2 linked regions of the Stegostoma tigrinum genome follow. The protein of the gene in region 2 purifies or fractionates together with the protein of the main gene of each other region. This does not show direct contact. Links are inferred from orthologs where the notes say so. Each region holds a gene or a part of one and is shown on either strand. Other genes may lie near its edges.

What was found.
Region 1: the proteins of syntaxin-7-like (region 2) and si:ch73-234b20.5 purify together in Homo sapiens (affinity purification with mass spectrometry; 7 studies listed by BioGRID and IntAct, counting the BioPlex papers as one, with this or other methods). This does not show direct contact. The link is inferred for Stegostoma tigrinum from reciprocal best matches to the Homo sapiens genes STX7 and VAMP8.

The regions. Positions count from the first base shown.
Region 1 is NC_081354.1:77,937,317-77,941,066, reverse strand, and holds the start of si:ch73-234b20.5 (vesicle-associated membrane protein 8), read left to right. Parts: upstream 1-1,290; 5' UTR 1,291-1,445; coding exon 1,446-1,448; intron 1,449-3,750. UniProt on the Homo sapiens protein: SNAREs, soluble N-ethylmaleimide-sensitive factor-attachment protein receptors, are essential proteins for fusion of cellular membranes.
Region 2 is NC_081357.1:71,869,584-71,873,333, reverse strand, and holds the start of syntaxin-7-like, read left to right. Parts: upstream 1-1,207; 5' UTR 1,208-1,310; intron 1,311-1,487; exon of another isoform or gene 1,488-1,571; intron 1,572-1,593; exon of another isoform or gene 1,594-1,695; intron 1,696-1,836; exon of another isoform or gene 1,837-1,959; intron 1,960-2,202; exon of another isoform or gene 2,203-2,224; intron 2,225-3,750. UniProt on the Homo sapiens protein: May be involved in protein trafficking from the plasma membrane to the early endosome (EE) as well as in homotypic fusion of endocytic organelles. Mediates the endocytic trafficking from early endosomes to late endosomes and lysosomes.

The DNA of each region.
Region 1 (3,750 bases), on a different chromosome or scaffold from region 2:
AATTTGAATGTTTTAATTATAGCTGCACAGATATTCCTTGCTCATCTTCAGTCATAGCCTTGTGAAAGTTGCAGAAGGATGGGATGATGTCAGGAGCCCTATCCAATTCAGTGTCACTTTTAGGGGATTCAGTTCCCAGACTTGTCCAAAACCAATGGCCCTTTGCCTGGGAAAAATCATCTATATTACCATCACCACCACAACCCCAGCCCGTTTGTACTTAGCAATTGAAAAATTGCCTGTAGTGTGCCTGTAGAAATTTCCATTTGCGTTGGTGGCAGTCAAGGCTTTTGATAGAAGCTAAGACTTTGTGGAATAAAGCTCCATTGTTTCTACATTTGCAATGAGCTTGTCTGAAGCAATGTTGGTGGTCAAGATGGAGAGGTCAGAACTGAGAAATGTCAGGAGTACTTAATGCCACGGGAAAGGCATGGTTCCATTGCTATAAGAATGTGGGTATTTATGGAGTCACGGAGTTATACAGCCTGAAAACAGATCCTTCAGTCCAACCAGTCCATGCCAAATATAATCCCCACCTGCCTGCTCCTGGCCCATATCCCTCCAAACATTTCCTATTCATATATCCATCCAAATGTCGTTTAAACATTGTAATTGTACCCACATCCACTACTTCATCAGGAAGTTCATTCCTCACGCAAACCACCCGCTGTGTGAAAAATTTGCTTCTTATGTCTTTTTTATATCTCTCTCCTCTCACCTTTAAAATGTGCCCCCTTACTTTGAAATTCTCAATCTTAGGGAAAAGACAAGTACCATCAACTCAATCGTCACCTCTCATTGTTTTATGAACTTCTGTCAGGTCACCTCTCAACTTCATATGCTCCAATGAAAAGTGTCGAAGCCTGTCCAACCTTTCCTTGTAATTCAAACCTTCCATCACTGGCAACATCCTGGCAAATCTCTCCTGAACACTTCAGCTTGATAATATCCTTCCCATAACTGAGTGTCCAGAACTGGACGCTGTATTCCAGAAGAGGCCTCACCAATATCCTGTATAACCTCCACATAATGTTACTGGCAATTTTGAACAGGTTTTGCAGATGGTAAGTGAAAATCATAACAGTATTTTTAAAAAGTTTTGAATTAGCTGTACCACTGCCAGGAATACCAGGAAAAGCCATATTTCTGAGGGAGGGAATCAGGAAGTACACCTGTTCAGAAACCTATCAGGTGTTGTAAACACCTGCAGAACAGGAAGCACCTCACCTGTTGCTATGGTTTCACTCTGTAACAGGCAACACCTGTACCTATGTTCTGCTAGCTTCAGTGAAAGGAGGAGGGGAAATAATCTTGCATCGGCTCTGCTTACAGGCTTGCGTTCGATGATAATTTTGTAATCCAGTTGTTAAATATTAACCAGCTGGTTCAACATTTTGTCTTCCACTTCACTTATCGGCAAAGGCAGGAGAAGTTCACAAACAACAATGGTAAGCTTTGGGCTTTTAAGTCCAAATTTCTAATTTATGTTCATATCTATATTTTTTAATACAAGTATACTGATGACTTATAAATAAGGTATATAAATATACTGCGTATAGAAGCTTTTACGAAAAGTGCAAAGCAAGAGGTGGAGAACCTAGGAAGCATAATTGTACTGTAATCCGAAAAGACTGGAGATTTTGGGCCTACTTTAGTTTTCCTCCAGGTTCAGCAAAACATATTTTTCCACAGGTATTTACACGTATGAAGAGAATTGTCGTAAAATTTGTAAAAGGACCTTGCTCAAAATATTCGATGATTTGTTATAAAAATCCATTCAGCAAAGGCCTAGCTGAGAAAATGTGGTGTTTTGCATATGGGCTACTACTTTGGGTACCCCTCCCTCACCAAAGCATTAATGGCTCTTTATTGTTTTGCTGTTATACCAACTGAATCACAATTTGCATTACTCCCAGTATAATGCAATAAATATCAAACACAACAAATTACTGTTGCATTGGCTTTTGGATTCAAAATTGTAATCTTTGTCCAGATTTGCCCCTCTTTGCTTTCCCCTTTTCCTGAAGTTGCTGCTTTACACTGGGTGTGACCCCACTATCAAAAATAGCCCTTCATGGTTGTCCAAATGACCCCATTCCAGGTGTCAGGTTGTTTCATCACTACAGGATCACATTTAATCCTGAATCTGTTTTCACCCAAATTTCCCACATATTTTCCCGCAGGAATTATTAGTGATCAGGATCAGGCTCTGTGGATAATATGTTTTTCGTTACCACCCTGGGGACATTGGTACCACTCAGATTGCCTCCCTACTCCAAAACAATGCCAGCTGAGACAGGTTGGATCAGCCCAGGAAGCTGAGGAATTTAGGACCATTCCATGTGTATGATCCAGCACCTCAGAACAAGGTGAAGTTATCGTATAGGGAGAGGGAAGTAAGAGGGGTGAATGTTTGTTTCTTTATGATGAGCCCAACTTCCTGTAGGCCATGTGGGTCTCTCAGAAATATCTGTTGAAAGTCATAGCTGTTAAATTTGATAAGGGTGAAATTCTCAATTATAAACATAAATTATAGCAGAAACATAAACACAAATATACATAGGCCCCAGGGACATTAAAGTGACATTAATATGTTCTCTGTTCTGACCTTTCTTTCACTATCTTTCACTTTTTTCTCATGTACTTTATTCTATGTTTCTCATTGTCTCTTTGTAGGTACAGAATTTATAACAAAAATAAAACTCTTCATGTAAGGAGTGCTGCTCTGAATATTTCTAATAGAGGACTTTGAGTACAACTATAACTAGTAGAACATCCTGGTCTCCACAGAGTCTTAAAACTAAGGTACCAATAGTGCAGACGCTGGATATTTGGTCTGGACTGAGCAGCATGGTGTTCAACACAAAGTCTTTATTGAAGTGAAACTTAAGATGTCTGCCTCTAGGCTGATTGCCTCATCTTAGAAGTCACATGACAATAGCACACTAGGACAGACATTTATATATGGTTGCATTTCAATCCAATTACCCTCTTATTGTTCTACAAAAAAGGTATGTATTGTCACGCAGGTAGTTTTAGATAACCAAATCACCAACTATATACAGTAATATTCTCATGCCTTAGCACTTCATTATTTTCACCAGTCTCTGTGTATGCATTGGATACATAGTCCTGAAATCATGCTAGTCTCTCCATGGTATGTGCACATGCTGTCATAATTGGCAGTTCATTCTCCGTGATGTCCCTTCGGCAGGAAGTGTTATTTGGATTGCTGCAGTAGTTGTTGTGCTGTTTCTGTTTTTGTGTTGCTGTGGACCTCAGTATCTGATGGTTGATGTGTAGGTGGTGCTTCATCTCTTCCCAATCAGCTGCCTGCAGTATTGGAACAGCTTCTCAGCCAAGTGTACGTGCCTGTGGTTGCAACAGTATATCTGGCAGCTCACTTCCACCACCTGTGAAGTGGGTTATATCTGCTCCATGCTGGTTTCAAGTTGCCACTTGGGCTGGCTTTTGTTGAATATTTGTACCCTGACTGGATCTTGCAATGTTTTAACAGTCTTGGCAAAATAAAATTTGGTTTTCTGCCAGTTGATCGTGCTTTTTCACTCACACCTGTTACTATTTCTGGCTTCCATTTTTTTTTTTTGCTTTTGGAACAGTAATTTGGGTGTGGATTGACTTTAGTCTTTGCACTGGACTACTTTCCAAGCCCTCAGTATGTGTGCTTCTCCACTCGAGGATTGCTGTGTGCACATCTGGGCAGGATTTACTTGATTTCTTTATGATTCC
Region 2 (3,750 bases):
ATATGTGAAATCTTTTGACAGGGGATAATTTTAAATTTTGCAAATTATAAAAAAATTTTGAAGTATTGTAAACTGTGTGGATGGCAGTATAAAACTTCAAAGGATTTTGACAAGTTGGTGTAGTGGTTGTATCAATGGCAGTTGAAGTTCAATTTGCAGAATTGTGAGGTGAACATGCAGATATAAAGGGGACAGACAGAGTAAAAAACAGATACTATTCTAAAGGGAGTGCAGGAGCAGAGAGACCTGGGTATATAGGTGCATAATTCATTAAAAGCAAGAAAGCAGGTGAGGAGTGAGGTTAATACAGCATATAGTATCCCTGGCTTTATTAATAGGTGCACAAACCACAAGAGCAAGGATGTTATGCTGAACTCATTTAAGACATTAGTTGGAACTCAGCTAGGGAATAATGCACAGTCTGGGTGCCATACATCAGGATGCACGCGAATATATCAGAAAGAGTACAGAAAAGGTTTACAAGAATGGTTATGAGGATGAGAATGCTCAGCAATGGTGATAGATTTGAAAAGTTTGGACTATTTTCCTTGGAGGGAAGACACTCAGCAGAGATCTGAAAGAAGTTTTCAAGATCAGGAAAGCTCTCAACAGAGTAGTTAGGGAGAAGCTGTTTCACCTTGTAAAAGAGGATGAAAAGGGCAGACATTTTAACTGTTTTGGCAAAGGGGCAAACATGAGGTGAAAGGAAACATTTTCACAGAGCAAGTGGTTCACGTCTAGAATGTACTACCTGGAAGTGTGATGGAAGCACGTTCAATGGAGGCATTCATGAGGGTATTAAGTGATTATTTAAGTGGGAACAATGTGCAGACTTATGAGGAAAGGGTAGGAGATTGGCATTAAGTCAAACAGCCCAGAGGGCCTGTGCAAACCCAATCACTTGAATGGCTTCCTTCTGCACTAAAGCAGCTCAGTATTCTGTGATATATCGCACTCCAGGAACTTAGTAGATACACCAAGGCTGGATCTTCTTGAAGGTCTGATAAAATCTTGCACTTCTAGCACTCTTGTTGGTTGAGATGCCTGAGAGTCCATCTGCCTCTGGTACATGTAAAAGACCTCACAGCACTATTTTGACAAAGTCCGCGGAGGTTATCTCTTTTTCCTTGGCCAATATTTATTTCGCAATGAACATCACGACATCAGACTGGGTGGTCATTAGAAAGTTGGTGTTTGTAGAGTTTGTACAAAGGTGGCTGCTGCACTTCCGGTATTGCGAGTGTTGACTGCGTTTCAGAAGCCCTTCATCAGCTGTCAAGTTTGGAAGTCATGAAAAGCCCTACGCCAACGCAAGTCACTTTTTTAACTTAAATTTTACCCCAGAAACATACTGCTTCCCCTTTGCCTTCAAGGACAGGGCAGATCTGATACAATATATCGACAGGGAAGGCCCTTCTTCGGCCGCCAGCGACAATCTACGCACGCGCCAGGCAGCCAGGTGCGGTGCGGGGTGGGTAAGGTCAGCGGATCAAGGGGGCGGGGCCGGCGTAGGGTCAGAGGCCGAGGTGGTACCGTCAGGGTAGGTGGGGTTGAGTGACCGTCCCGAACAGGTAGGATCCGCTGTACACTGATCTCCCGGTCTTTGTTGGTGCTGGTAGGCAGGCTAGGCTCTGAGCCTTGAGGGGGAGGGATCCGCCTGGAAATGCGGCCGGGCCTCGGAAGCAGCCAACCCCGGTGGGTAAGAGCCCAACCCAGCGCTGTCCAGTCCAGTGTTTCTGCCGGTTCCCCCCTTTCCCTTGATCCGGGGAGATCAGCCCCTTCTCTCCCCAGTCCCACCACCCCCACCTCCCCGCTCCCTTTCCTCGCCCTGTAACTAGTATAGAGCTGTTTGTGAGGAAGGGAGCATTGAGCCAGGGAACTCTCTTGAAGGACGTTCTTATGAGTGCGTCTGTGTGGAGGAATTGATCCCAACCGACAAGAATGACCAGACAGTCCCAGGTTTGCCTCCCCCTCCCCTCTCCCAGCGGTGATTTCTCTGACCCTAACCGGGGTGGCAGTAAAAAGGTTTCCCAGTTATTCAGATTTCTCACCGTGTTCAGCAACTCTGACGGGGCGCCTGGGTTTCTGTGTGACCACAAGGCTGAGATTTCCGTTTCTGTTTATTTCAACACATAATGTAGAACAGCTCGGGCTCTCTTAACCCTCCCTTGTTGACAGTTACCGTCGAACTTGCCGGTGATGGTGGGTTATTTAGCAAAGAATCGTAAGTGACTGGTGTACATGGGAGAAATTTGCAATCTTATGTTAGCTGTGGGGCGCATTTGGTATTTTTCAGATGTCTGAGTCAGAAAGATTTGGGCTTAAATGCCATTCCAGAATTTTAACACAAAACACAAGGCTAAAACTCGATAGCAACACCGAGGAGACGCTGTACTGTCGGAGGTGTAAACTGAGGCCATGTCTATCATAAGATAATAAAATGTGAGGCTGGATGAACACAGCAGGCCAAGCAGCATCTCAGGAGCACAAAAGCTGACGTTTCGGGCCTAGACCCTTCATCAGAGAGGGGGATGGGGAGAGGGAACTGGAATAAATAGGGAGAGAGGGGGAGGCGGACCGAAGATGGAGAGTAAAGAAGATAGGTGGAGAGAGTATAGGTGGGGAGGTAGGGAGGGGATAGGTCAGTCCAGGGAAGAGGGACAGGTCAGTCCAGGGAAGAGGGACAGGTCAAGGAGGTGGGATGAGGTTAGTAGGTAGATGGGGGTGCGGCTTGGGGTGGGAGGAAGGGATGGGTGAGAGGAAGAACCGGTTAGGGAGGCAGAGACAGGTTGGACTGGTTTTGGGATGCAGTGGGTGGGGGGGAAGAGCTGGGCTGGTTGTGTGGTGCAGTGGGGGGAGGGGACGAACTGGGCTGGTTTAGGGATGCAGTAGGGGAAGGGGAGATTTTGAAACTGGTGAAGTCCACATTGATACCATTAGGCTGCAGGGTTCCCAGGCGGAATATGAGTTGCTGTTCCTGCAACCTTCGGGTGGCATCATTGTGGCAGTGCAGGAGGCCCATGACGGACATGTCATCTAGAGAATGGGAGGGGAAGTGGAAATGGTTTGCGACTGGGAGGTGCAGTTTTTGTTGCGAACTGAGCGGAGGTGTTCTGCAAAGCGGTCCCCAAGCCTCTGCTTGGTTTCCCAAATGTAGAGGAAGCCACACCGGGTACAGTGGATGCAGTATACCAATTGGCAGATGTGCAGGTGAACCTCTGCTTAATGTGGAATGTCATCTTGGGGCCTGGGATAGGTGTGGGGGCAAGTGTAGCATTTCCTGCGGTTGCAGGGGAAGGTGCCGGGTGTGGTGGGGTTGGAGGGCAGTGTGGAGCGAACAAGGGAGTCACGGAGAGAGTGGTCTCTCCGGAAAGCAGACAGGGGTGGGGATGGAAAAATGTCTTGGGTGGTGGGGTCGGATTGTAAATGGCGGAAGTTTCGGAGGATGATGCGTGTTCTCCCTTGTGACATTCCACATTAAGCAGAGGTTCACCTGCACATCTGCCAATGTGGTATACTGCATCCACTGTACCCGGTGTGGCCTCCTCTACATTGGGGAAACCAAGCAGAGGCTTGGAGACCGCTTTGCAGAACACCTCCTCTCAGTTCGCAACAAACAACTGCACCTCCCAGTCGCAAACCATTTCCACTCCCCCTCCCATTCTCTCGATGACATATCCATCATGGGCCTCCTGCACTGCCACAATGATGCCACCCGAAGGTTGCAGGAACAGCAACTCATATTCCGCC